4 linked regions of the Canis lupus familiaris genome follow. The protein of the gene in region 4 purifies or fractionates together with the protein of the main gene of each other region. This does not show direct contact. Links are inferred from orthologs where the notes say so. Each region holds a gene or a part of one and is shown on either strand. Other genes may lie near its edges.

Region 1 (7,057 bases), on a different chromosome or scaffold from region 4:
GGAGTGGATGCACACATTTGTGTGTATCTGTGCCTTGTGTTTGCACATGTGTATGGAAGATGTGTACAGAGTGCTTGTGTGCGTATGGGCGCACACACACACCAAAGCAGCCATGTGACTGGTTTTAACACCGCCCTGCGTCTCCTGTGTTGCGCTGGGCCATGGTGGAGGCGCCTCCAGTGTTGGCACCGCGAGGTGCCGTGAACGGGTGAAGGCAGCCCAGCCATGACACACGCCGTCTCCGTCGTTGGTTCTGATTGCTTTTCCAGTGTTTTCTTCCTTCCCTCTGTCCACGTCTCCCGACACCAGCAGCACTGTACTCCTGGCCTGCCACCGACCTTCTGCTTCCCTCTCTCCGTGTTCTAGAACTCGGTCAGCTCTCTCGAGTCTGTCCCCAGCCCTCATGGCTGTCACAGTCCCGCCGACTTGCTCTCTTCTCGAAGTGCCAAGTCACGTCTGTGACAGCCATGAAGCAGCATTGCCTCTGCAGCTTGCAGGGATCACAGGTGTGCTCCTGGAGAAGCCTGGGCCCTGGGAGAGGCACGGGGGTGGAAGGTAGCAGGCCCCCCGGCACCCACCATCAAACCCAGGAGCCTCAGCCTGCACGGCCGTGGCCCAACTCGCAGTCCCCCGAGGCCGGCGTGCCCTGGGGAACGGGAGTTGGGCCAGTCCGTGGGTGGAGTTGTCCTGACCGCTGCACGTCCTGTGCGTGCCTCTCGCTCTCTCCCGCAGCCAGATATACTGCATAGAGAACGCCCACGGGCAGCTGGTGCGGGACCTGGACTTCAACCCCAACAAGCAGTACTACCTAGCCAGCTGCGGGGACGACTGCAAGGTCAAGTTCTGGGACACCCGAAATGTCACCGAGCCCGTCAAGACCCTGGAGGAGCACTCCCACTGGTACGGACTTCTTTGCATGCTGGTCCAGGGTAGGGGGGTCTTAGAATTTATTTTGCTAATTCCTTTCCCATTTGGAAAGGCACAGACCAGCTTAGTTTGTGCTGCTGTGAATCATTCAATCAACCCAGTTTTATTTTTCCTAAAGAAACACTAATCCCAAATCCGAATGTTTATGATTTATAAACATAGGAAAAGAAGAAAAAACATTGCATCCTGTGTTCTCTTGAAATAGTACCAGTTCTAATATGCACACGCAGCGTGCACAGATGTTCAGGAGGCATTGTTTGCCAGGCTGGGGAGCTGGAGAGCGCCCTGATGCGCGTTGGTAGCGGACGGGTTAAGTCAGGCTGTGATACCCACGCCGTGAGGAGGAGATGGGGACAGCTCTGCGGGGGCGGACGGTGCCCGAGAGCCGTCCTTGCTCACTATTTCGTGTTTACCATGTGCCAGGTACTTGGTGCTGAGTTAGTGAGGGGTCTGCTCCAGACCTGCGTGCCCGTACAGGCTAGCTTTCTTTCCAGTGAGACGTGTGTGTGTGTGTAAGTGCAGGCTTGTGTGCACGTGTGCTTGTGAGGGCGTGAGCATGCTGGTTTGTGCGTGGGCGTGTGTCCCTGTTCTTATGTGCATGTGAACACGTGTGTGTGTAAGAAAGTCCTAGAGGAGTAGGAACTGAAGTACCGTCAGGAGCGCTTGCTCAGGCCAGGGTGGGCACCTCACAGGACAGGTGACTTCTTCGGGTCTGTGTCCCTGATTTCTTTGAATTACTTACCAGAAACCATGTTGTTTCTGGGATCGGGACATTTAAAAACCCGGCCTGCCAGGGTACGGTTCTGCCCAAGTCGGTAGGTTTCTGCGATTGCCGCAGCCCGAGGAGAGGCGCCTGCACCCCCACCCCCGCCCCCACCCCCGGGCCTCCGCTCAGCTCGCTGCGCTCCCTGGGAGTGTGTGCGGTGGCCCAAACCCAGAGCGCACCCCGGCCCCGCGGCAGCTGGTGCTGGAAGTCGCCCTGGGGTTTGGCTCCATGCGCTGGGTCCTCTCTAATGTGTCCTTTGCTTCTGGGGCAGTTGTTGCCGTTAGGACTTCGGAAAGCCCAGGGGGCGTTTTGAGCAGCAGGCCCTCCTCCCCCTGTGAGGTTTGCACGTCCGCTTGCTCTCGTGTCTGGGTGCCGGGCCTTAAAGGAAGGCTGGAGAGGAGCACGCAGTGGGCCTGGCCCTCTGCTGGGAACGTCCTCGTGTCAGGGCAGGCCCGGCCAGCCCGAGGGTGCCCCGTCCAGGAAGGCCCGCCTGCCGCTGGAACTGCCTCCTTGCCTCCCAGGGTGTGGAACGTCCGCTACAACCACTCGCACGACCAGCTTGTGCTCACGGGCAGCAGCGACAGCAGAGTCATCCTGACCAACATGGTGTCCATCTCCTCCGAGCCCTTCGGCCACCTGGTGGACGACGATGACCTGAGTGACCAGGAGGAGCGCCGTCCGGAGGAGAAGTAAGGGCGCGTGCTCCTGGCGGAGGGGGCTCCTCCTCCTACCTCGCGGTCCAGGTGGCTCTCGCCAGAAGCGGTCCGGATGGGGGTCAGGGGGCCCTGGTTCTGGGGACGTCGGCACCGCGGCGGGGGCATGGGGGTTGCATTAGGGGAGCTCACGCTGTGTTGCGTCGACCCACTCAGTGTCTGTCCACTCTCGTCGGACGCCGTACGGGAGAGGGGAGGGGCGGTCACTCGTGGTTAGATGTGCCCTTCGGTGGCAGTGAGGGCTTGGTAGTCCCTGGAGCGACAGGTCATCGTCGACACCCTCTCCGTGGGCTTGGGTCTGAGACGTGTGCTTCCGTCGTTGGCCGGCGGCCCTCCCCGTGGCGGGGCACGGACTCCAGGTGAGCACCTTCGGCCCCAGCCCATTGCAGCCTGAGGTTCCTCAGGGAACGTGGGAGACCTCGGTGCGTGTCCCAGCAGTCGCGCCTCTTGGACGCGCGGTCTCCCATCGCAGCTGCGTCTGCTCGGGGGCTAGCTCTTCAGCCGGTGTGCGCCCCCGAGACCGCTGGATTCCTGGGGGCCCGCTCCTGGTTGGTGCAGAGCCGGGGTGCCCCAGGCCAGGCGCGACGGAGTGTGGCTGTGGCTCCTGGGCGCCGGGGCGAGGGGGGGCAGCCGTGTCGTCTGTCAGCGACATGGAAGGGGACTGTTGTGTTCTGAGTAGACGCCTGCTGGTGAGGGGGAGCTGCGTGCAGCGGGGTCAGCCCCGGGTGGGGGAACGGTTGAAGCCGACAGGCAGCAGGCCTCCCCCATCCGTTCTGAGGTTCTTCCCCCACCTCAGCTGAGCCCCGCTTCACTTTTGAGAAGACATCTCTGTCCTCGTTTGGTTTCCGTTCAAGCACGTGGATCTGCAGTCTGGGAACACGGTTGCGGCCGTCTTGGTGCAAACACCTGCCGACCGCCGTGCCGTCGGGGTCATGGGCTCTGGCTCCTCGCCGGGGGGCAGCTGGCGCCGTGTGGCCCAGGGGTGCTGCCCTCCACACAGGTGGCCTCAGGGACGCGCCTGAGGTGGGGAGGCTGGCAGGTGCGGTGACACCCCCGTGTCCCCATGGTCCTGCTCCCATGGTCTGTCCGCGTGACCTGCCAAACTCCGGAGAACGAATCCTCAAGAGGATCCTCACGTGGTGTCTGTAACGCAGCCCCAGTGGGCACGGCGGGTCCACGTCGCGGGAGGAGGTCGATGGCACGCAGAGCTGGACACGGAGGGGCCTGCGCAGGGTCCGGGAGCACAGAGTGGGGACCGAGTAGATGCTTTCTGTGAGACGGGAACAAAGTGCCACGGGGAGAAATGGCTCCTGCCCTCGGGGTGGGTCTTGGTGTGGCCGCTCGGGGGACAGCCTGTGATGGCCCGTCAGTGCCCAGGGGCCAGGTCTGCGCTCCTCCCATCATGCGCGGTGTCACATGTGATGCACCATCGGGTCAGGGTTCCTGGGGAAGGAGCGCGGTCACTCCAGTTTAAAGGGAGGTGACACGGGAGTCCCGGCCGAGCACGCTACGAAGCCTGAGGCCAGGCCCAGGAGCCCCTTCCTGCCCCGCCGGCGGGACCCGCTGTCCTGGGGTCACGCTGGCCGTCCCCAGGGCCCTTTCTGCTTCTCGTCACTCTTTATTCAGCCCTCGTGGGTGTTTGTGGTCACCACCCCCTGCCCCCCGAACCTCGGCGTCCCCGGGAGGTTCCCGACGCCTGCTCTTCACCCCTACGCCGCGGTGGAGGCCCGTGCCCCGCGGCCCTGTGAGCGTCTGTGTGCAGGTGCCGGAGCAGCCTGGCGGCCCAGCGCGCCTGCCCTGGTTCCTCCCATCGCCCGCCCGGTGCGGGGAGTGAGGCCCCGGCCCCTGCAGGCCGCCCCCGCCTCGCTCACGCGTGTCTCTGGTGCCTTGCAGGAGTCAGGAGCCGCCGCAGGACAGCGTCATCGCCACCTACGAGGAGCACGAGGACAGCGTGTATGCCGTGGACTGGTCCTCCGCCGACCCCTGGCTGTTTGCCTCCCTGAGTTACGACGGGAGGCTCGTCATCAACAGGGTGCCCCGGGCGCTCAAGTATCACATACTGCTCTAGGCCCGTCCTGATGCACCTCCTGGCAGGTCCCTGAACACGTGCAGCTCTTTGGAGGTCGCTTTCCAGCGGGTCCCTGTGGGGAGAACCAGGTCGCCTGCCTCTCAGGCGGGCGGGTGGGCGTTAACACCAGGGCGCTCCTGCCGACTGCACAGCCCACCCTGTGCAACGTCACCCCTCCCGGAGGCGGGCACCGTCCTCACCTGTGCCGGGCGTGAGCCGCCCTTCCCGGCGTCCACGTCTTCCTGGCTTCGGCTTTCTCTAATCTGTTTAAGGGTGTTGGGAGTTTCATTAGAAAGAAAAAAATCTTTGTTTATATAACATTAACTCATTTTTCTCTTGAGATTGAAAATAAAACAAGCAAGGCTGTGCTACACGGAGTCCTGGCTCGTTCTTTCAAGACTCTGCCCCACGCACCTTGTCGCCTGGTCTCTGTGCATGTTCCGTGTCCCCGCCCAGAGGGGCGCTGACGGGCAGACGGGCCCCTGCACCCTGCATCCTGGGCTGACCCGACTATGCGCGGACCTCGGCAGTGACCAGGTGGCCCGTCAGCCTGGGCACCCAGTCCCGCGTGCTGCTCCCTACTGGGTCCTGCTCATGTTATGCCGATGGCATTGGACTCTTGTCCCTGGGAGCTGCATCCACGCGTCCGGTCACCCAGCAGCACGCTCCCACTCGGGAAATCCCACGTCGAGGTGTGACCCCCACTGCCAGGTGACCCTGAACCCAGCACATGGACTCTAGCCTGGGCCTCCTCTGTGGGCCCAGGGGAAGTGGGGGGAGGAGGACAGGTGGGCCAGAGGGAGGAGGGGGGAGGGGAGGACAGGTGAGCCCCCGGGGGGAGGGGAGGGGGAAGGGAGGTGGGCCCCAGGGGGAGGGGAGGACACGTGGGTCAGAGGGAGGGGGGAGGGGAGGTGGGCCCTGCGGGGAGGGGAGCGTGCTTCGCCTGGCTCAGGCACTTGGTGCATGGGCATCTCAGACGAAGCCCACAAGCTTTCCCTGGGTCGCTGTGTTCTGAGTGTGCCCCGGTCGGCGGGAGGGAGGGCCGAGGGACAGATGCAGCTTCCGGGGGGGGGGACAAGAAGCACCCACGAGCTGCCCGTAGCACCTGGAACGCTCTGGGAGGAAATGTGCAGATCGGGGCAGCGCGGCTCCTGTGCTCCCTGGACTCAGGCCCCGCCGTCCCGTGGGCCGAGTGTGTTGCTAGTGCACAGGACATGTGGGCAGCGGCACGTGTGCGCTGTTAGTACCTCGGGCTCTGGGGAGTTGACCCAGGAGGCTGCCGCGTGAGCCGTGGAGCCGCAGGCCCAGCTGTGGGGCAGGCACCCTGGGTGGGCCGATCACACTCACGACGGCCGGGGCTATGACACGCGGTGGCTCCGTGGTCCCCGGACCCAGGGCGCCTCCGGGCTGTTGTGAGTGTGCTCGGCCCACCCAGGGTGCCCGCCCCAGTCCACTCTGTGTGTCCACTGCTGCCCCAGGCACCACCACCCAGCCCGTCCCGCTTGGGCCTTTGTGTGCAACGGGGGAGGAGCCAGCGACCCGGAGCTCTGCCAGCTGTGTGCGGCCCTGCACCTTAGCCCGGCCCGGTCGCCCAGTTAGCGCAGCCAGGGCCGCCGCCTCTCGGGCCCCCCTGGGCCTGACCGCCGCAGGGTGTGCGGGTGGCCACCTTGTCCTGGTCACCGCAGAGGAGCCGCAGGTCAGGTTTGCGTGGAAGCGGCGGTGCGCATGCACGTGTTTCTGTCCGGGAGACACCCCGGCCGTGGGAAGCGCTCATGTGTTTCACGCTTTGTCACACCGAGCAGGACAGCTGCGGGGCCGCGAGCGCATGGGGGGGCGTCCCTGGTGCAGCCCACCCGCGGGTCCAGGCACAAGCCGGCCACACCCCTGGGCTCACCCCGTCGCCAACTCCAGAATGCCTCTGGGTGACCTTGCAGCGGTCCCCGCCTCCCCAGCCTGGGAGCACCCTGTGCACGGGGCGGGCGTCAGCCTCGGGGACCCATCTGTCGCCCACCCCCTGAGCATCGCACGGTGCCTGGAATGGGACGGCTGAGCACGGGCCGGGGTTGGGCCCCTGGATGAGCGGGAGCCTGCGGGTCATGGCCTCTGTGGGGACACACGGGGAGGGGGACGGCATAGGAGGCCCCCAGCCGGGGCCACACTCAGTCGAGCCTTCACTCCGCTCCTGCTTCCCACAGGCCTGGTGCTCCGGCTCTGCGGCCTGACCTGGGCGGCAGCCTCAGGCCCGCTCAGCGGGTGTCCTGCTCCAGGCACCTCTGAGCACAGACAGACGGGCACCAAGCTGTGGTCAGGCAGGGGACGTCCTCCGGGCGCCGGTCCCCATGGGGCTGGGCGCCCAGCAGAGCGGTGTCCTTGTGGCTGCGCCCTGCCTCCCGGGGGACCAGCGTGTCGGGGCAGGATGACGGAGTGACACCGGCCGGGCCGGGGCGGGCAGTACTGGGCATCGTCGTGAGCTCGCTGCCCACCCACTGTGGACACGTGAGAAACCCGCGTGCAAGATGTGGGGAAGCGAGGGTGTGCAGGGCTGACTCTGCGGGGTGACGCGCGAGTCTCCCTGTGCGGGCG
Region 2 (6,880 bases), on a different chromosome or scaffold from region 4:
TCCTGCATCAGCATGGCCAGGTTGATGAGGACCTGGGGTTGTGGGAGAGGGAGGACAGGGCAGTCTGTCCCCAGCCTATCTCCACAGAGGTGGCAGCACCTAGATGGGGCAGTGGCTTATCTGTCTTGGTTCTCAGTCACCAAGTCCTGGGCCCTTTATTGAATGGATCCAGCCCCTGTACAAAGACCAACAGATGCTTCCAGAGGTGCAACCTCCTGTTGGCTCTTGCCTTGTCCAGTAATGTTCCTTTGGGGAGAGCAACATAGAAAGCCACTGGACATTTTAGGCTTGAGGATGAAAACAGACCTGGTCTTAAATCTCAGCTCTGCCACTTCGGCAAGTAGCTTACCCTCTCCAAAGACACTTTTCCCCCATCCCATGTGGGAAATGAAAATAATCATGGACCTGCATCACAGAGCTGAGGACTCATTGACATGATGCATGGGCAGCACGAAACATGATGTGTCCAGCACATACTCATGATTAGCCAGAGGCCGCCTCCATTCTGATATCAGTGGGTTTGGTGCTGTCATTAATACGACCACTTCTGATCCTCACAAGAACCTTCACAGGAAGGTCTGATCCCATTTCACACATGGGGAAATCACCTCAGAGGCCAGGATGCAGATCCATGGTGGATACTTGGCTTCCTCTCACCTCTAGTTTCTAGGATGACATGAGCACCTTGCCCAAGAGACCCTTGGGAAATCTTGACCACAGTCCAGCCTGGGTGGTGTTAACCCAAAACCACAGTTGGCATGACATCAAGGCCACTAGTGATGGACAGCTTGCTATGCCCAGTGATCTGTCTCAGGTTCTGCACTGCTAGAACGAGCGGGCAGCATAGCATGAGCTCTCCTGTCCTCAAAATAGATTTTGAGCTGATTTATTTAAAGTTGCACCTGTTCACCTAACTCCCTCCATACTTTTTCTTCCTAGCACTTAGCATCCCCTGCCATGCTATATATATTTTATTTTTGTCTATCTTTCCCAATAGAAAGTAGGTTGAGAACAGATTTTTTTTTTACTATGCTTTCCTGTAACTTTTTTCTCTTTTGTCTCCTTGTACCTAGAGCAGTGCCCAGGGCACAGAGTGGACTCAACAAATATTTGTCGGATGAATGAATGATTAATGGTTTACATCTGTGCAATAGTGCCCTGCCCAAGCACTACTTACTCATCCCACCCCCCTCCTTCTGGCCCATGTAGCCATGCCCAGCATACCCAGCCGATGAGGCCAGGCCGCAGTTCACAGAAATATTTGAAGTCAAAGGACCAGACGCGCGGGTTGAGCTCCCGTCCCAGGAAGAAGTCGTAAATGGGATTGCCTGGAGAATAATGGAGGCTGAAGATTCAAGCGAGCACCCCCATCTACTCCTGTCTGCACCCTCCTGGAACCCCTCTCACCTGAGTTCCCCCCAGGTGCCAGGGCCGAGGCAGGGGCCACCAGGGCCTTCAGATAGAGAAAGAGGCTGAAAATGAAGGTGGTGAAGGTGGCCGCAAATGCCAAGGGCAGGAGCATTTCGGGGAGCGCCCCCAGAGGCAGACCTGCCAACACTGCCAAGCCCACCAACAGGGCTGTCAGCATCAGGGCCTGGAAGCCTGAATTGCAGTACACAATGAGTCCTGGGGGCTGCGTCCCTACACCTCTGCCCTTCCACTCCACTGCACCCCCCTCCATAACACACACAGTCCAAAGCCCAGGGAGGTCAAGGATCTTGCCCTTGGCTTTCAGTGGGTCACCACTGTTCTGGTGCATAGAGTAGTAGTAAATGCTGTGGGTAGGGATGTAGAAACAAAAGATGTGAAGAGGGAAAGTGAGATCCCCCAAGGCTACCCTGGGCACATAGCGTAAAATAGGCATCTAACGGAGCTTGGGGTTGGGGGCTAATCTCCACTGGGCCCAGACCTCCACCCCCAGCCACGACTCCAGCGAAAGGATCCATCCCCCCAAGCACCGTTAATGGGATAGAGCAGACGACTCTTGTCCTTCAGTTCCTGTCCCTCAGCAACCTGCAGGCACAAAGGGGGTCCGATAAGGGGTGAAAGTGTCTTCGTCTGGCGGAGCCGCCTCCCTCGGCCTGCTCCCCCCCGCGAGCCCCGCGAGCCGAGTCTGCACCTTGCGCGCAGGCAATAGGTAGAGAGCCGCTTGCAGGCCGAGCCAGGTGAGCCACAGCAGTAGCATCCTCGGGCTCCACAGCACTTGGAGTCCCGGCAGGTAGGGGGGTGGGCCCAGGAGGCGCGCGGGGCCCGAGCGGACCACCAAGAGCAGGTGGAACATGGTGGCAGGGAGCAGCAGCATCAGCGCCGCCGCGCCTGGGGGCCGGGGACGATCGCATCGGGCGTCCGCTCCGCAACTGCCCTCCGAACCCCTCACCAGGCGCCCCGTGGTCTCCAGGGCCCCTTCGGCGTTCCCCCTGCCCTCCATGTCCCGGTCTCCGCCCTCAGTCCCTGCCCGGACTTCCATCCTGGCCCCCGCCTCCACGCTCCCCCAAAGACCTTCCTGCTGCTCTCGGTACAATCCTCCACTCAGCGCCTCCCGCCTCACCCCCGATCTCTCGGCCTCGGGAGACCATTCACAGGCTTCCATTCTCAGATCCTGCTCCTCAGTATCCCTCCCCACCCCCGCCGCCTGCGGTTCACCCGCCTTCGCTGAGCCTGACCCCAGATTCCACCCTCTCCCCATTACCCAGGGGTCCCCCGAATTCCAGCGGAGCCCGGGATCCCTGAGGAGAGGCCATGGTTTCCGCTCCACCGGGGGTGGGGGTACACAACAGTCGGTCAAAGAAACACAGTCCACCTCATCCCCCGGGACACGAGCTTGGTGATGCGGATCAGACCAGCACTGGAACCTGCTCGGTCTGAGCTCAGACTACTACCCACTCGATCCGGAGATCTCTAAGTGGACCCACCCCCGGCCCATCATGGGCCCAGCAATCCAGCCAATCGGCTCTGGGGGGTGGGCCTGACGCAGGCACCTCGGGAGCCTCCTCACAACCTCAACCCCAGCAAGCCCCGCCCCTGGGAGCCAGAGGAAGAGAACAACACGTCTTTATTGGCGGGTCTGGAGGCCGGAGGGGAAAGGCCAGCGGGCGGGAGACCAGGGGATGGGGAGGCTGGGGCGACCAACGGCGCAAGCGGGTGCGTGCATGGCAGCGGCTGGCCTAGCCACGCTCGCAGATGACCTCGACAACACTGGGTTCCATGGGCACTGGGTCTGGGCAGCGCAGGGCAGCTGAGGCCACCACTTCATCCAACAGCAGGTGCACAAGCTCCTCGTCCGCCACGAAGCGCCACAGGTAGAGCTGCAGGAAGTGACAGTCCACCTGCACCTGCTGCAAGCCGAAGCGACCAAAGGTGCGCAACCGCACACACTCCAGCAGCGTCTTCAGGCTGATCTTGATGATGCCAGTCAGCACCGAGACCTGTGGGCAAGGAACAGGAATATAGCTCTGGGCCAGCAGGTGCTGGGAGGGGGCACTGGGTCCCTGAAGGCATCCAGTTCTGGGCAGGGGCTACACAGAGAGTAAGAGGCCAGGAGCTGCAATGGGGTGTACAAGTCCCAGGACTCCCATAGATACAATGCTGGCACCATTATCTGGAGAACAGAGGGAGAAGGCCTAACAATCAGAAGCAGAGATGGGAGTCAGCACTGACATAGGGGAGCAGAGAGGCTTGCTGAGTCAGAGACAAAAGAACGCCAGGTCCCAATCGCTTGGGTGGCTAAGTAGTTGAGCTTCTGCCTTGGCTCAAGTTGTGATCCTGGGATCGAGTCCCACATCTGCATTGGGCTCCCTACAGGGAGCCTGCTTCTCCCTCTGCCTATGTCTCTACCTCTCTGTGTGTCTCATGAATAAATAAGTAACAACTAACTTAAAAAAAAAAAAGACCACCAAGTCCTGGCGTATGGGCTGGGTTGGGGCAGAGACTATGGTATGGACAGGAATCCTTGGGGAGGACCCAGGACTACTCTGATGACGAGGACAAGAGCAAAAGAGGCATTCTAGATCTACATCCAGACCCAGGCTGGGAACACACCAAGGTCAGGGCAGAGGGCCATGGCATACGGTGATGGTGGGGTTCCGGCTGACCATTTACTCCTAGAAACAGCCCACAGAGGCAGAGCCTGGGTGAGGACAGAGTCCTAGGCTTCCTGACTCTGTGGGACTGCTTCAGCCAACCTTCTCAAGGGCCCCTGGAAGTTGGTGTCATGGGGGACTTCAGACCTTGTTGAACTCCACGGGGCTGAACACATCAATACGTTCAGAGAACAGTTTCTGGATGTTGCTCAAGAGATTAGTGTCCATTGGGGCACTGGATGGGGGGGGAAGACAAGCAATCAGAACCCACCCTGGACCTCCATCCTCCTTTGTCCATTCCCCCTGGGGTTCCCCTGGCCAGCCAGACCTGGGTGTATAGCTGGGTGCATAGCGGCCCTGCTGGCGAGAGCTGCTATACACAGAGAAGGTCCTTTTGCTGGAGTCACTGCTCTGAGCCTTGCGGACACCCTCTTCATACAGAAGACCCACCTGGTAGTGGAAGAAAGCACTGCAAGGAGGCCAGAGCAAGGGGAGCCTCCAAGCCCATCAGGTGCCCAGGGTGAGGCCCAAGGACATGCTAAATTACAAACCCATTTGTGACAAGAATCACAGGATAGTGGGGACCTGGTAATGGGGACTTGGTACCTGGTCACTATTTATAGGTCTGGTGGAATGGGCAAAGGTGGGACATGAAACTTCGCACTGAGGCCCAAACTTCAGTGCTAGCCCGGCCCTGATTCCCTGGTTGACTCTAGACCTCAGCCTCATTGTAAGTAAAATGGGGGCAACAATGCCTTGAGCCAGGGCTGAGGAGGAACAAGCCACAGGCACTGGTGTCTTGATCCTCCGAGGACTGCTCCCCTCACACCCACAGCCTGCATCAGGACCCCCTGGCCAGCCCGAGGGTAGCACCTGCACGTCAATAGCCGTCGTGTCCTCCACCACCCGCTTCATGACAGCACGCACATTCCGGGGCTCCAGGGTACTGAGCCAGTCCCGTGTCTCGACACTCTTGCGCAGCATCTGTGATATGACCAGGCCCTGCACCTTCACATAGTGGGTCAATAACCGCCGTGCTGTCTCCCTGGCCTCTGCACACAGTGTGCTTACAGGTGTCACTGGAGACTGGTCCTGAGCCAGGGGTGCAGAGGACAGAGAGACAGTGAGTGCTGGAAGGGCCACTGCCAAGCAGGAGCTGGGCACAGGCTGGGCAAGGCAGAGGCTGGGCAGGGCATAAGCAGCTGGCCTGGGTCTGACCATGACAGCTCAGCCCAGCCTCCGGGATTCCCAGTACCACCATCCCCTACCCTGCTATGAGCTAGTGGTTCACCTGCACGAGAAACTGTTCATCGGTGAGGGTGAGGATGTAGGAGATGGTGGCTGTCTCATAGTCCAAGCAAAGGCGGGAGAGTAGCAGGAGCAGAGCAGGCGGTGTGGCACCCCCCTTCTCCCCAGGGCTGTCACAAAAGCTCTGAGCTGTCTGGCACATGGAGCGGATGAAGCCCACGATGAGGCCCTCACGAACACCTTGGCTGCAGAACTCGCCCTGTGAGGAGGAGGGTCACAGATACATAGCAGGTCCCCTCTTCCAGGCATGGGCTGCTAGCCACCCTCTATTTCTAAATGCCCTAGACCCTCTCCAAAGGACAGCTTTATCCTGCATTCCAGGACCCAAGAGCAGCTCCCTTGCTTGGAGGAGGGAGTGCAAAGGAACAAAGCCAGCACTGGGGATCCCACTTGCAGATGCCCTCACAGCCTTCCTCATGACAGCCTGAAACCACATCCAGAGTGCCTGAGCAAGGACTGTGTGCTCTGATAGCTGCCAAACTGTAGGATGAATAAAAGAATGCCCAGGATTAAGGGGGAGGGGGGAATGGGAGGCCCAAAGATAGGTCATACCCGGAAGTAAGGCTTGTTGGAGAAAGACACCTCCTTGGCGGTGAAGAGGTGCACAGCTGCCAGGGAGGCTTTGATGTGGCTCAGGATGGAACTGGCCACATTGGCCAGCAACTCCGCCAGGCCTGGGCCTTCCTTTCCAGCCAGACGAGGTGCAGCCAATGCCTGCCTCACATCGGTCAGGCAACCCAGGAAGGCAGCCCGCAGGCCCTGCAGGTGGTGGCCTAGGCGCTCCCGGGCCACTCGCTCCACAATCTCCGTGGCAGCCTCAGCCAGCCCCGCAGCGGCCAGCAGAGCCCCAGGCGCCCGCAGGCGCCGATGGAAGCGGTCCAGTGCCCGCACCAGCAGCGAGTTGTCCCCGCTACCCTGCTCCTGAGCCAGCCGCCGCTCTACTAGCGCAAAGTAGCGGCCACCCAGCTCCTGGGCGAAGGCTGTGAGCTTCTCGGCACCCGCCGCGCCCTGGGCTGCAAACAGCTCCTGGTAGGCAGAGGCCACTTGGCAGAGGCCACCCACGAAGCCACTTCCCCCGTGATCGGTGAACTCTAAGACGTCGGGAGCGGGAGGGGAGGGCCCCAGCTCTGCCTCCAGGCTCCGCAGCTCGGCCTCCAGCCGCCCTCTGGCGTTGGCCAGGAACTCGTCACACAACTCCTCCGCAGGCTCGCCTAGGGCCAGCAGCAGCTCCACGCACTCTGCCTGCTCTGGGGCTCCAGAGCCGCCCTCCCTGAAAGGTGGAGGTGGCGGTGAAGGGAAGGCCCACAGACTTCTGGGTGGGGGTGGGGGTGGGGGTGGGGGCGGGGGCGGGGGTGGGGAGTGGGGCAGACAGCAGACTGGCAGGCCCAGGACCCCGGCGGGGTGGGTGAGGGCCGGGGCCACACCTGAAGCGCTGCCGCAGCTGCTGAGCCAGGCGAGCCGTGATCACCTGGCAGTCGTCCTGGATGGCGCGG
Region 3 (7,022 bases), on a different chromosome or scaffold from region 4:
ACCTGACTGAACTTCTCAGGTACCCCAAGGATTTTATTTTTAAATGGAAATTGTTTTAAAAGTTTCACTTTCACCCTACCAGATCTTACTATCAAGCTTGGGTTTCTGCTTTCATTCAGCCCTGCCATTTTAAAAAAATTTCTAAAGGTTATTTATTTTTATTTTTATTTTTTTTAAAAGAATTTATTTGACAGTGAGAGAGCACAAGCCGGGGGAGTGGCAGATGGAGAGGGAGAAGCAGGCTCCACGCTGACTATGGAGCCCAGTGCGGGGCTCAATCCTAGGACCTTCAGATTATGACCTGAGCCAAAGACAGACGCTTAACTGGCTGAGCCACCCAGGCACCCCTAAAGATTTTTTTTTTTTTTTAATATTTTTATTTATTTTTTATTTATTTATGATAGTCACACAGAGAGAGAGAGGCAGAGACATAGGCAGAGGGAGAAGCAGGCTCCATGCACCGGGAGCCTGACGTGGGATTCGATCCCGGGTCTCCAGGGTCGCGCCCTGGGCCAAAGGCAGGCGCTAAACCGCTGCGCCACCCAGGAATCCCCTAAAGATTTTATTTTTAAGCAATCTCTACACCCAACATGGGACTTGAACTCACAATCCCAAGATCAAGAGTCACATGCTCTACTGACTCAACCAGCCAGGCACCCCAATTTTAACTTTTTATTGTGGGAGATTTCAAATGCACATACTAATAGCATAGTGGATCCCCTGGGGTCCTCTCCCAGGGGTCGCACCCCCAAGTACCATCACAGATCTTCAATCAGTAAGTACTTGGGGACAGTTTTATTCCTTTCTATCAGCACCCATTGCTCATCCTTCCGTGCCTGCCCCCCAGTTATTTTTTTTTTAAAGATTTTATTTATTTATTTATTTATTTATTTATTTATTTATTTATTTATTTTTATTTTTATTTATTTATGATAGGCACACAGTGAGAGAGAGAGAGGCAGAGACACAGGCAGAGGGAGAAGCAGGCTCCATGCACCGGGAGCCCGACGTGGGATTTGATCCCGGGTCTCCAGGATCGCGCCCTGGGCCAAAGGCAGGCGCCAAACCGCTGCACCACCCAGGGATCCCCAGATTTTATTTATTTATTCGTGATAGACACACAGAGAGAGAGAGAAAGAGAGAGAGAGGCAGAGACATAGGCAGAGGGAGAAGCAGGCTCCCCACAGGGAGGAGCATGCTCCATGCAGGGAGCCCCATATAGGACTCGATCCTGGAGTCCAGGATCATGCCTGGACCGAAGGCAGGCGCCAAACCGCTGAGCCACCCAGGGATTCCCCCCGGCCCCCGTTATTTTGGATTAAATCTTATACATCATCATTTCATCTGTGTCAGGATGTGTTTTTAAAAACACAATATAGGTAGCCCCAGTGGCTCAGCAGTTTAGCGCCGCCTTCAGCCCAGGGTGTGATCCTGGAGACCTGGGATCGAGTCCCACGTCAGGCTCTTTGCATGGAACCTGCTTCTCCCTCTGCCTGTGTCTCCGCCTCTCTCTTTCTGTGTGTCTCTCATGAATAAATAAAATCTTTAAAAAAAGAAAACCCACAATATATTATCACACTTTAAAAAAATGATCTTAAAAGAGCTAGTGTTCAGATTTTCTCAGTCATAAATGGTTTTTATAGTTCAAATTAACATCCATGTATGGTACATACATATGTCTCTTTGTGATCTATAGAGTGCCCTTCCATCTTTGCTTACCTCCTCTGCAATTTATCTGTGGAAGAAACCAAGTAACTGAGTCATCTGTCATGTTAGAATAACAGAATACAGTCTAGATTTTGCAGATTGCATTCCATGGTATGGCTAGACTTTTTTCTTTTTTTCCATAAATGTGTAGTTAGATGAAAAGTCTTGATCAGTTTGCAGTTAGTTGCCCACCCCCCCCGCCCCCCCCTGCCCCAAGGATAGTTGAGAGCTAGTGGTATGTACTTCCATTGGGGGCACATAATGGTTTCTTGGTTCCTTTTCTGTCAATAGCCATCAGTGATCACTGCCTACATCCATGAACTAGATTTCCATAACCCTCAATGTCTCAAAATTTCCCATCTCATCTGTGCTACATTTTAAGTCATTTCTTCAATTATAAAATTCAATTTGCTGTATCATTCTTCAGGTATTTCTAATCTGCTGTATAACCTGTTGACTTTTTAAAATTAAAGACTTTTAATTTTTAAGTCATCTCTTGAAAGTTTCATTTTGTTTCAAGTCTGTCCATTCCTCATCTTGTTGAGTCGTCATCTTTGTGTCTATATTTTTAATTCTTTGAATGTTTCATACAGAACTCACAACTGCTGTGTATATGACAGTTTTTTTTTAAAGATTTTATTTATTTATTCATAGACACAGAGAGAGAGGCAGAGACACAGGCAGAGGGAGAGGGAGAAGCAGGCTCCATGCCGGGAGCCCGATGTGGGACTCGATCCCAGGTCTCCAGGATCACACCCCAGACTGCAGGCGGCGCCAAACCGCAGTGCCACCAGGGCTGCCCGTATCTGACAGTTCTGATGTTGGCAGTCTTTGGTATACCAGTCTAAGTCCATTGCTTATTGTTTATACTGTTTCTCATGGTAGTTTCCTTTCATATGTGTCTGACGATCTTTGAGTTCATTGCTCTGTCTTAATCAGGGGGAGTCATATGGGCCTAAAATGAGATTGAGGATATTTTTCTGTCAAGAGGATTTGCCTCTGCGTTTACGGTAGGCAAATTACTGAAAGACCTAATCCACCTCGATTTATGTCAGCACCCCTTTGAGGCTCTCACAAGAGGCCCAGGCTCCGCTTCTCCACTTGAGTCTGGCATCAGGCTCAGATTCCAGATAGCAGAGTTGCCATCGCCATTTGTCTTCTGGCAGCCTTGCCTCTCCCAGCTTCCTACCTTTCTGGTTCTGGCTCTGATCCCAATTACTTGTGCTTTGCTCCCCAGTTCAAGTTTAGTGTTTTGGGACCATTGGTGTCTTAAAGTATGTAATTTGCTCTGGCAATATTCTGAGGATCTAGTCATTCATGATGCCAGAAGTGGGAAAATGTCTTGATACCAGGACATTTGACTATGTGTATGTGTGTGTGCTTATTTCTACAGGAATTCATTGAAGAGTTGTTGTCTCCCCCTTTTGGGGGTCTGGTGGCATTTGTGAAGGAAGCCGAGGCTTTAATTGAACGTGGACAGGCTGAGCGACTTCGAGGGGAAGAAGGTATGCAGATGATGTGGTCAGGTGGTGGAGTTAATGGTAAGGGGAGTGGAAAAGAAAAATGAGAGGAGGCAGATTCCATGAGGAGGGGGTAGAGCAGGAAAATGAGATTGGATGTGGAAGAGGGCTGTGCCTTGGGGAGGACGTAAGGGTTAAAGATCACCTAGCCAAGTCCTTTTCTGAGACCCTCTCTCTTTGCTCCTGCCATCAGCCCGGGTTACTCAACTGATCCGTGGCTTTGGTAGTTCCTGGAAATCATCAGTGGAGTCTCTGAGTCAGGATGTAATGCGGAGTTTCACCAACTTCAGAAATGGAACCAGTATCATCCAGGTAACTTGCAGCTTCCAGGCCTCCCTTCCCTCCAACCCCTATCATTAGTTGTTTTCTCTGGGCTCAGCATCATCCAGGTGACCCATGACCTTCAACTACCAGCATGCCCAAAGTTCTGGATGAGCCCTAGCCTGATTCCTGATACCATCTCTAGCACCACTCCACAGCCTGATCTTTCATGACTTTCTCTGACCAGGGAGCTTTGACCCAGCTGATCCAGCTCTATCATCGCTTCCACCGGGTACTCTCTCAGCCCCAGCTCCGAGCTCTCCCTGCCCGGGCAGAGCTTATCAACATTCATCACCTTATGGTGGAGCTCAAGAAGCACAAGCCCAACTTTTGATGCGCCAGACCCTGGGATCCACCCGCCTTCTCCATGGACTTCCGTACCCCATCCCAGACTCTTCTTCATCTGGGGTTTCCTTAACAGTTGTCCACCTGCCTCCCAGGTCCTTGACATGCCTCACCCTGCCTCATCAGAATAAGCTGGATCACCTTGTTTTTGGGTTCCCAGGACCACTCCCCCCGGGCTTCCAAAAGCCTTTATCATTTCCCTGATTTCACCACCCCTTCCCCCACACCCAAGTTCTCTTCCCCCAGTAAAATCTTTACTGTTTCAGTCTCAACTCTTGTCACCATGGCCTGAGGTGCAACGCCTCAACTCTTGGAATTGGTGGCAAGGCAAGTCATTGATTTTTTTTTTTCCCCTTTCACTCAGTGATTTCTTTTCTGTAGCTTTTTGACCTAAGATCTCAGCAACTTGAACACTAACAAGACCTCTCCTGGCTTGAGAGTTACTCCAAGGTCAGTCTGCAGAAAACAATAAATATTTAATATGACATAATACTCTTCTCTCATTTCCTTCCTCCTTCTTCCTGGGGCCTTCAAGTGGCCCCCACCTCTGCTCCAGGATCACTTTTTTGTTCTGGCTCTCTCCTGGGCTTATCTCCCTTCTGGTGGGTGTCCAGAAGAAGGGGTACAGATAGTAACTTCTAATCTCTAGCTGCTTCAGGCCAAAGAAGTAGCAGCGTTGGTTTTAGGGAGGGGACTGTGTCGTGAGTAACCAGCCTGGTGGAGGAAGGTGGCCCCTGGTTAAAAATGGCAAATACCTCAAAAAAAAAAAAAAAAGGGCAGATCCCTCAAGGGCTGGGAACACGGTTGTACAGCCTCAGGCACTGTTCCACAGGCTACCTTGATTCCCTAACAGGGGCTTAACTTGCATGGGGGGCTGGAGGGCTGTAGCACTCACACCAGGGCGGGGGTGGGACAGGTTTGCAGCGTGCCTGTTTCATCTATTTCTGTGTTTGCTTCCTACTGCACCCCTACACCTCGTTTGAACTCAGACTCTAGACAGAAGAGACACGGGGGCGCCTTTTTAGTCCTAACGGGAAAGGCGCAGGCAGTCGGGAGAAAATGGTAATTTGGGGATGTTTCCTCTGTTTCCTTCTCCCACATGGCCCGAGCATTGCTTCCCAAGTCCCAGCGAGCTACTGAAGGAAAAAGAATTCCACCCCCGGCGCGGGCTCTCTGGACGCGAGCCGGGCCTGGGGCGGGGTGGAGGAGAGGGTGCCTCTAGGCCGGCGGCGGCGGTGGGGCGGGGCCAGGGCGGTCCCGGCGGGCGGGCTCTTGCGATTGGCTGCCGCGAGGCGGGGGCGTGGCGGGAGGGCGCCTTCCCCCTCCCTCGGGAACCGCGCTGCGACTGGGAGGCCGACCGCCGAGCGGCGTCCTCAGTTTGGGGAGCCTTGGCGCCCGAGGCCGCCGGGTGTCGGGCGGCGGGGGGCATGGGCGGCTCCTGATTGGCCCAGACGCCTCAGGGGCGGGCCGGGGCAGTGTCCTCAGCCGACCCCTCCCGGCGCCGCCGCTCCCTCGGCTCCGGGCGCCCTTCCAGCGTTACCGCGCCTGACTCGGCCCCAGCCGTTCCCCGAGGCCCGCCGCGCTCTAGGCGGAGGTGCGCTGGGCTTCGAGGGCCGCAGCTCGCCCCGGGACCTTCTGTCCTCCTGCCTGCCTCTCCCGCCCACCTACACCCTCCCCTGCTTCTACTTTCAACCTTGGGGGAGCCAGTTCTCCTGTATGACCCGACTCCAGCCTCAGGAGAAGGTTCGCTCAGGGTTTGGGACTCGGGACGGAGGCGGCACGGGCGGCTTTGACAAAGAGCAGTTTCCCAGAGCAAAGGTCTCCGGATCCCCCACGAGGGAGACTACCTCCCAGATAGACGCCTTCGTGGAAAGCCTCTCACGCTCCCGTGGGAGAAGGGCTGCGCTGGCAGGCACTTTGACTTTACTCGGTACAGGCCACTCCTGTCCATTCCCGAATGCAAATAAATATTCAAACAACCGGTAAGCGCGTCATTTTGCAGGGCTGAGGGGCGGTGCCGGAGTCTGAGGAAGCTCTTGATTAGGGAGCCGGAAGGCATTCCCATTTTATTGTAGCTCACAGTGTTTGGGGACATCCATCTCCCCGGGCACCCGGGAGATCTCCAACGGACTCTCAAGGACCCGCGAAGTCGCAATGGGGTGAAAGGGAGCCGCGGTACCCACACAGACCTCCAGGGGGCAGCATCGACCAGGAGATGGAGTTGTTCCGGGCTGCTTGGTCTCGCGGCAGGTGGCTGCGAAGGTTCCCCCAGGGCTCCCATCTCTCTGAAAGGACGGAGAGAGTTTTCCTTCAGCCTAACCACCCACTCCACACCCCCTTTAAGCTGTTTTTAGAAGCATTTAAAAAAATATTTAATTTATTCATGAGAGACACAGAGAGAGGCAGAGACATAGGCAGAGGGAGAAGCAGGCTCCCTGCGGGGAGCCGGATGCAGAATCCTCCATCCCAGGACCCCGGGATCACGCCCTGAGCCGAAGGCAGACAGTTAGCCACTGAGCCACTCAGGTGTCCCTCATGCAGGACTCTTAACCAAGATCCTAAAGGCTCTGTGATTGAGAATTAGAAAAAATTACGTATTATTTTCACGAACCTCTAATGGAAATGTAGCATTTCCTCCAATGAAAAGTGTAGACAACAAACCACAGCAGAATTAGCAGTATCTGTGACTGTCATCAATAGAAATCAGATGCTTTTATATCACATCACCTTCCAGTTGCAGAAATCTTAAAATGTCATGTGTGCTCATCATTGCTTTATAGTTTTGATAGTGGTTAGACCTACACTGAATGTTATTATATATCACACATTTTTAAATTTATTTTTTATTTTTGCTGCTCGGAACTATGCCATCACGTGCAAAATAATCCTCACTTGACATGGCTTCCTATAAGGACTCCCAATCTGGTAGAGGAGATGGACTGTTTATTCACATGGGTCACCTGGGCTGCAGCTTACTGACAGCAAGCAGAGGGAGAGGTTGCTCCAGTGCAGGAGCAAGAGGATGTGTTGTCTGTAGAAAATGTTAAAATAGGGATCCCTGGGTGGTGCAGCGTTTTGGCGCCTGCCTTTGGCCCAGGGCGCGATCCTGGAGACCCGGGATCGAATCCC
Region 4 (8,181 bases):
AATAACTGAAACTCAGCCCTGATGTTCCAATCTGCAAAAATGGGGCTGGCACTCCTTTACCAAGGGCCTATCACGCATGCAGTAAGCTTTCCTCAAGACTTGTTGGCAGACCATCCAAACTTTCTGCTAGTTGCCCTGGCCTATCATTAACAACCTTTGCAAATGTAAAAGTCATAAATAAGCCTTACATGCATTTTTGAAAAATGGAAATGAAATAACATGCTTCCCTTTTAAAAAGTATTTTTTAGGGTTCTAGGATTTTGTTGTTGTTGCTGTTTGTTTGTTTGTTTTTTAGTTTAATTTAGGAAGTTAAAAATGCATCCTGTATATCTCCATTATTTTCTATAATGTCAGGATATATTGGATTAGAAAATCAAGTTTTTTAGACAACAGCACTGATTTACATGTTTTCAATATTATAATTTGAACTTTTAGCAGACTGGATTGTTTATTTTTAGGTTATAATAAATAAGCTAAAACTTAGAATATTAGAGTAAAACAAAGTTTTAATGCTTTCTTGAATTTTCAGTGTCAAATAGACACATAAAATATTAATTTTCCCAATTAGGCTGATAGAAAAAGACAAAATATACATGGAATAAAAAAGATTTTTGTTTTGTCACTTGTCATTTCATGTATTGTATGAGGGGGAAATTTTGGGTTTGGATCTGGGTTGCAGTTCTGATTCAAGCTCTGATTTTAAGATGTGTGACCTTGAAATCATACATGTATCAATTTTCTTATTTCTTAAGAATGGATTTGAAATGCTAGAGCTGGTTGCCTGTGAGAATCACTGAAGATCTGAAACAAAGAACCTAAAAGAAAACAATAACAAGGGCATTCTCTTCAGGTGCATTTGAATGGTCAGGTTTGAGAATTATATGCTTTTCAACTAAATTATAAACTCCTTGAGGACCAAAACTCTATGTTAACTAACTAAAATGCTTAGGATATAGTGTTGCCTAGTGCCTAACAATCAAAAACTGAATTGGGTTTCATTTTACATGCTAATATAGTCAGCAGTTTCTGTTTCTTTTGATGCTTTCAGGGACTTATTATTTTAAAGATTGATTTTATTTATTTATTTATTTATTTATTTATTATTATTATTTATTTATTTATGAGAGAGCAGCAGAGAGGGAGAGAGAGAGGGAGGAGGAAAGAATCTCAAGCACACTCCGCACTGATTGAGAAGCCTGACATAGGGCTTGACCCCATGACCCTGCCATCATGACCTGAGCCATAACCAAGAGTCCCCATGCTTAACTGAGCCACCCAGGTGGCCCTTCAGGGACTTCTAAATATTGAATATTTTCACTTAATAAGAACTGCCTGGCAATAAAGACTAGTGTAGGTAAGGAATGAACTAAACCAGGGTTGCCCAAAAGTGCCTGGAATTTTTATGGGCTTAGAAATAACAGAGAAGCATATAGGCAAACATAATTTCAAAAGCAATTGTTAAGCCCAATGATACAAGTATGTACAAAATGATTCTGTTGGAGCAGTGAACTGGGCAGATTTGTGACTATAATTCTTCATAATTGTAAGGTGCTTAACAATTTATAAATTGCATTCACCTACATCACCTCATTTATCCTTACAAAAATCTTAGGTCAAATATTACAACCTCATTTGTAAAAAATGAGACAAAGACAAACGACAACTCAGAGGTCAAATGACAGAATTTCAGAATTGGAAATAACCTCTATATTGTGGCTTCCAAATTTCAGTCATTTGCAAACCACTTTTATTATTTTGCTATATCTTACTACCACTCATTATTGTTTACCTAATATTTTTGATTACTTTGGCACACTTTAACACTTTTTCAGTTGTCCTACGAAAATTTTTAAAATCATGGGCTTTCTAATAAACATTAATTAAATGTAAATTCAAAAAAATTATTGGTACTTCAGGACTCACTCTTCAAAACCATACATGAAACTCTTACTTAAAACAACATCTGGATAATCAGTCCTTCAGTTTCTGTTTGCATGTCTGCAGTAATGTTAGGCAAGTTAGTTTCTCCATTACTTAGTTTCCTCATCTTTAAAATGAAGGTTAAGTGCAGAGAGAGAGAAAATAAATTGGGGATAATTGTATAACCCTATAGAATGTTTATGTGGATAAATAGGGTAATATATGTAAAGCTATTAGCAGACTTCTTTTTGGCAGAAGGAGAAGCAGGCTCCATGCAGGGAGCCCGACGTGGGACTCGATTCCGGGTCTCCAGGATCAGGCCCTGGGCTGAAGGTGGTGCTAAACCGCTGAGCCACCCAGGCTGCCCCAGAGTTCTTGACATGTGGTAAGCTCATAAATGCTACCTGTTGTTAGCTCTGGATTGCTTTCCGTCCCCTAGTAGTCTCATAATCGGAAAATTCTTCCTCTGGACGCCCGGGTGGCTCAGCGGTTTAGCGCCGCTTTCAGCCCGGGGCGCGATCCTGGAGACCTGGGATCGAGTCCCACGTTGGGCTCCCTGCATGGAGCCTGCTTCTCCCTCTGCCTGTGTCTCTGCCTCTCTCTCTCTCTCTGTGTTTCTCATGAATAGATTAAAAAAAAAAATCTTAAAAAAAAATAAAGTCCTTTCTTTTTTTTCTAGAGGTTTTATTTTTTTAAATAATCTCTACACCCAACATGAAACTGAAACTCACAACCCTGAGATCCAGAGTGACAGGCTCCACCAACTGAGCCAGCCAGGCACCTTTGGGAAGTTCTTTCTTTCCTTTTTTTTTTTTTTTGGGGGGGGGGGGAGGGGGAGTTCTTTCTTAAATTAAACTCTGAACATCTCTCCTATCACTTTCCTCACTTTAAACGGCTAAAAGTGGAAATGAGAACTTCAAAGTGGCATGTAGACGACGACTATCATTATTGTTAGGCAGGTAGTGAAACGATAGGTGGGGGCTAAATCCTTGGGCTTTAGAGGTTTTTTTTTTTTTTTTTTTTTTTTGCAGAGATCCCGAGGCTGAGGAAGAACAGCCCTAACCCTGGACAAGACTGTCTATTAGACCACGCCTTTCGTCAGGCCGAAGTCCAGAGCCAGACGGAGAGTCCCAGCTTCGCAGGTCCCTTCTGGGACAGACAGTGCCTTTCCTAGAGTTCTCGCGTCCTCCCCCCCCACCCCCCCAGACTAGGTTGGGTTTCCTCCACTACACTCTTAGCGGGAAGTCACGTCAGTCCGCTTTACATACTGTCTTTTCAACGCTTGTTTCCGTCGCTTAGTGCCTGGCCACCTATGAGCTAGGGTTTCGCCTCACCGAAACGGGGTGACCAAGAGCAAGTACCTCCGTAAAGACAGGCGGCCGCCGTGGTCAGAGCAACAAGATTTGCAAGCTAACTGAAGCGTCTCGGGAAATGTAGTACCTGAACTGTCCTCGTCGCCTCATTGCCGGTGTCCGTCGCACCCGGAAGACTACAGTTCCCAGCATGCTCAGCTCAGGAAAGGATGACCCGGGTTGGCAGCTCCACGTGACCACCCACTATGGCTTCCTTGTGTCCTGGCCAGCTGTCTGGTGGTTCGGCGTGATTTGTTAGTGCTTTGCTGTAGGGTACCACTTTCACGATTTCGACATGCAAAAAATCAAATCTCTTATGACCCGACAGGTAAGTCTCGGAGGCTGAAACAAAGGCCTCTTTCGTCTCTGCTGGTGGAGGAGCCTAGATAGTCTGTTTCTGGGCCGGGGCGGGTGGAGACCTAGGGTATGGCTGGTGGCAGGTGTCAGGGGCACTGGGAAGTCGGGGGCACCCTGGAAAACTCTCCTGAGCCACCGTGATTGGAGCCCTGCTCAGGCGGGCTGTCGCGTTCCTTTAGATAAGGTCAATGAATGAGTTTCAATGAGGGCTATCTTTGTCTCCCTTCCTTTCCTTTTGGCATCTTTCCGGTGACAGCCCCAGACCCTGCAAGCCTCCCTTTATCTAAGCTGTGTGTCGTCTGTGAGCAGATGGCCTGGGTAGGGAGGTGAGGTCTGTGTAATAGAGATGACCTGGAAAGAGTGGAAAAAACGGATGAGTTGAAGACAGAATTGCTAGCTTCATGACTTTGGGCAAGTTCCCAAACCTTGTAGCATAAATTTCCAGATGTGAGCATGAGAAATAATTATTCTTGTTAACCTTATCTTACAGTTCTGACAGTCACAAGTAAGTTAATGTATGTGAAATGATACTTTAAAAAATCTTTGTTATGGCAAAATAGTGGCCTTTTATTTTTTATTTTTTTATTGTCACAATGATAATTCATGAATAAAAGCTTTGGCTGTTTTTGTTTAATTATTCATATATGTTAGGGACTTCAAATAATGTCTCAGTTTCCTTCAAGGAAGAAAAGGCAGAATTTCCTTTTACATTCTTATTGGTTATGAGTTGGTTTTAGAAGTCAATTATTTATTCAACCCTAATATTTCACCAGAATTGGCCATTCTTTATTATCTTTATATGAGAGAAGTAGAATGTAAAGTTTTGAATCAGAGAATTTTGAGAACTCTGGAGAATATGGAGAGTAGTCATTTAGTGAAAGGTTCATTTGCGAGTTTTGTTGTTGTTGATTAGAAGGAGATTACAAATTCCAAATTAAACTCTTATTTGAAAGGTAATCTGAATAGGTTACAAATGGTAGATATCTTGTGAAGAATACATGAGTCCTACATGATTGTTTTACACCTTTTAAATGATATTGTTAATGTCATGAAAATAAAATTTTACAGATCTATGAATAATAAAGTATTTCAGTAAGTGGCGATCCCTCACATTTGTTGAGTACTGGTGTTATGTACGGTTCATACCACTTATTACTTGAGAATATTTGGGTCCTGCTTCATTTTGCAGTAGCTATGTGACCTTGAGGAAGTCACCAGACTTTTTAGAGCTTTTGTTTTCACATCTTTAAAATAGGAATAACAACATGTATCTCATGGGTTCAGCCTGGTGGTGATGTTCATATAATATGATGAAGATTAAGAGAAATAGGAGTTAACATATCTTCTGGGTCTTATCAAGGAAGTGCTTGATCACAGAGGTCATCTCAGCAGCTGTGCGGATGCTGGAAAGCAGGAAAGCTGGAAACAGGCTGTTGCAGTAACAACAATAGATGATTTCAGACTGACTTTTGGTATCTGTTTGATTTGGAGGGGCATCTTTTTGATTTTTAAAACAATATACACTTTTGAACATTTTACCACTACTACCCCCTAACCTGACTTTAGAATGCTGAATTTGGACTTTTGTACAACAGTAAAGTTTGGTCTTCTCTCATGTTGCACACTATGCATTTCTGTGTAATCATCACTGTACAGCAACTTTGGTGTTTTGTTGTTTTTAACCTTATTTTGTGATAATGAACAGTAAGAAAAAATACACAAGTCCAGATACCAGTGATAATACGTTTTTATCTTCTAAATGTAGTGGAATTGTTGTGAAAATGGTGACTCTTCAGCCTCAATCCGTTGCTTATTGGACTTGAGCGGGTCAAATCATTGCTTAATTGGTATAGAAAAAAAACTAAAGAACACATACAAAAAGCTGGAACTATACTGTGTAAAATGTGAGGTAAAATTAGGAGTTTTATACAGATTTTTGAAAAGATTTTATTTATTTATTTAGAGAGAGAGCATGCGAGAGCAAGAGCGCAGGCAGGGGGCAAAACAGAAGAAGAGGGAAAGAATCTCAAGTAGACTCCATGCTGAGTGCAGAGCCTGACATCGGGCTTGTTCTCAGGATTCCAAGATCATGACCTGAGCTGAAACAAAGAGTTGGGCACTTAACTGACTGAGCCACCCAGACGGCCCTACACAGATTTTATTTTATTTTATTGTTTTCCTACACAGATTTTAAGAGTCACCCTTATTATTTATGACTTGACTTCCACATATTTAATCATAACTAATACACATTTCATGAATCTTTGAGATATGAAAGTAGGGTGCTGCCTGGAGTTACACTGGAGATTTTTAATTAGTACTGTTTATCATTGGGTTAAATATAGTAGTATTACAAATAAATATACACAAAGATGTTTCTTTTTTGTGAGGCTAAAGAATATATTGATAGTATCATTAAAGTGAAGAGATATGAAGGGTCTATGAAACTTAGGTATTTTGGCATTTCAGCTGTAAGGATCTTGGGTTTGGAAAAGAGTGAGAGGGTGGGTTTTGTTAGCACTCTTTATTTAGATGAGGTCTGTTGTTCAGCTTTCTCTATTATGCTGGCCTCTGTTCTTTCAATTCATTCAACAAATGTTTACGGATCACTATGTGACAGGCACCATTCTAAGTTTGGGGGTGCAGCAGTGAACAAAACAGACAAGTGCTCAGGCAGACGTAGTGATTAATGTTTGGGAGGAATAGAGGATAGGGAGGCCTGGGAGTTGGCAGTTTGGGATCACTTATAATTTTAGATAGTGTGGCCATGAAAGGCCTCATTGAGAAGGTGACGTTTGAGTTAAAAACCCAAAGGACATGAGGAAGTGAACCATGTGGTTATTTGTGAAGAAGCATTCTGGGTGAAAGGAAGAGCAAATGCAGAGGCCTTCAGGCAGGAGCATGGCTGAGCAACATCCAGAGGCCAGTGTGGCTGACATAAAGCGAGTGAAAACAGTAGGAGATGAGGTCTGGATGAGGTCAGAGAGCTAAGGGCAGGAAGCAAGATCACCTAGGACCTCATCTTGACCTCATCTCCTATTACTTTTTCTAAAAGCAAAGCCATGCTTCTATTTTGATTGAAATAGCAAGCAGAGGATTGATGTCATTTTACGTATATGGACTTCAGAAAGATCTTTCTGGCCTTTTAAAAGAATAGATTGAAGAGGGAAAAAGAGCAAAAACAGGGAGAACAATAAGGATGCTATTGCAGTAATCCAAATGAGAGACAGTATGGGCCTTAACAGAGTGTTAGTGGTAGAAGGGTTGAGAAGAGATTGATGGTGGGTACACTGTAGATATAGAGTTAACATGATTTCTTGACAAATCGGACTTGGGCTGTGAGAGAAGGAGAAGCATCAAGGTTGATTCCAGATGGCTTGGCCTCAGCAATTGGAATTGCCATTTAATGAAGTGGGTAAGATTGAGGAAGGAACAGATTCAGGGAATGCAGAAAGGTTTTAGACTTGCTCATTTGAAAGCCTCTTTTGAATATTTAAGTGACAAGATAAAGTAGGCACTTGGCTAAGAGTCTGAATTTCTGAGGACAAACGCAGGGATATAGATAAAAATTTGGGACTTATGAATGCATATACGGTGTAGAACTGGCTAAGATCACCAATGGAATGAGTGTAGTTATAAAACAGGAGTCCAAAGTTGGAGCTTTTGAGATTTCAATGTTGAAAGATGAGGGGAAGGAATGCCTGGGTTGCTCAGTGGTTAAGCGTCTGCCTTCAGGTCAGGTATGATCCCGTGGTCCTGGGATCAAGTCCCACATCGGGCTCTCTGCATGGAGCCTCCTTCTCCCTCTGCCTATGTCTCTGCCTCTCCCTCTCTCTGTCTCTCATGAACAAATAAATAAAATCTTAAAAAAAAGATAAGGGGAAGAGGCAGGTTAAGGTGGATCTAGTGAGGCAGATTGAGGAGCAGCCAGTGGGGTAAAACTGCAGCCATCTCAAAGACCACCTCACCTGTCCCATATCAGATCCTCAATAAATATTTGTTGGATACATGGTGGATAAAGAGAACAACTAAGTAGAGTGAAGTCCAGAAGCCAAGTAAAGAATTTAAAAGAGGAGGGAGTGATCATCTGTGCTAAATGCTGAAGATGAATGACAGAAGATGAGGATGAGCCTTTGGACTGAGCAGCATAGAGGTTATCAGGTACCTGACAACAGCACTTTTCATGAAGTGATGGGGAGGAAGGCCTGTTTAGAGTGGGTTTGAGAGGAATTGAGGACTAAGTATAACCGCTATGTTGAATTTTACTGAAAAGAGGAGGAAGAAATCACCTCACTTGATTTTTGATCTTTGGGACATTAAGTTGCTGGTCTCGTAAATGGAAATAGAAGATTGATGTAGATGTAACAGAAGTAGTCTGAAGTGTTAATCTGCTTTGGCCAAAGAAATAAAGTGCAGAGGCAAGTATTATGTATGCTGAATTTTGTATAAATTTAAATGGGGGAAATTTATCAAAACAAATACCAAATGCAAAAGAAAATCAAATAATGGTTAAAGATTACAGAGGCAGTTTCAATTTCATAAAAGCCAGGTA

What was found.
Region 1: the proteins of VPS50 (region 4) and EIPR1 purify together in Homo sapiens (affinity purification with mass spectrometry; 4 studies listed by BioGRID and IntAct, counting the BioPlex papers as one, with this or other methods). This does not show direct contact. The link is inferred for Canis lupus familiaris from reciprocal best matches to the Homo sapiens genes VPS50 and EIPR1.
Region 2: the proteins of VPS50 (region 4) and VPS51 purify together in Homo sapiens (affinity purification with mass spectrometry; 7 studies listed by BioGRID and IntAct, counting the BioPlex papers as one, with this or other methods). This does not show direct contact. The link is inferred for Canis lupus familiaris from reciprocal best matches to the Homo sapiens genes VPS50 and VPS51.
Region 3: the proteins of VPS50 (region 4) and VPS52 purify together in Homo sapiens (affinity purification with mass spectrometry; 4 studies listed by BioGRID and IntAct, counting the BioPlex papers as one, with this or other methods). This does not show direct contact. The link is inferred for Canis lupus familiaris from reciprocal best matches to the Homo sapiens genes VPS50 and VPS52.

What each region holds. Positions count from the first base shown.
Region 1 is NC_049238.1:1,869,198-1,876,254, reverse strand, and holds the end of EIPR1 (EARP and GARP complex-interacting protein 1), read left to right. Parts: intron 1-732; coding exon 733-900; intron 901-2,214; coding exon 2,215-2,382; intron 2,383-4,299; coding exon 4,300-4,474; 3' UTR 4,475-4,845; downstream 4,846-7,057. UniProt on the Homo sapiens protein: Acts as a component of endosomal retrieval machinery that is involved in protein transport from early endosomes to either recycling endosomes or the trans-Golgi network.
Region 2 is NC_049239.1:52,586,767-52,593,646, forward strand, and holds the end of VPS51 (vacuolar protein sorting-associated protein 51 homolog), read right to left. Parts: coding exon 6,812-6,880; intron 6,658-6,811; coding exon 5,940-6,657; intron 5,587-5,939; coding exon 5,371-5,586; intron 5,172-5,370; coding exon 4,953-5,171; intron 4,530-4,952; coding exon 4,408-4,529; intron 4,315-4,407; coding exon 4,227-4,314; intron 3,426-4,226; coding exon 3,165-3,425; 3' UTR 3,035-3,164; downstream 1-3,034. Other genes in the region: delta(14)-sterol reductase TM7SF2, read right to left, coding at 1-32, 1,225-1,328, 1,408-1,602, 1,959-2,013, 2,120-2,316, 2,690-2,741. UniProt on the Homo sapiens protein: Acts as a component of the GARP complex that is involved in retrograde transport from early and late endosomes to the trans-Golgi network (TGN).
Region 3 is NC_049233.1:2,849,938-2,856,959, reverse strand, and holds the end of VPS52 (vacuolar protein sorting-associated protein 52 homolog), read left to right. Parts: intron 1-3,100; coding exon 3,101-3,212; intron 3,213-3,420; coding exon 3,421-3,539; intron 3,540-3,735; coding exon 3,736-3,882; 3' UTR 3,883-4,388; downstream 4,389-7,022. UniProt on the Homo sapiens protein: Acts as a component of the GARP complex that is involved in retrograde transport from early and late endosomes to the trans-Golgi network (TGN).
Region 4 is NC_049235.1:18,692,783-18,700,963, forward strand, and holds the start of VPS50 (syndetin), read left to right. Parts: upstream 1-3,442; 5' UTR 3,443-3,567; coding exon 3,568-3,600; intron 3,601-8,181.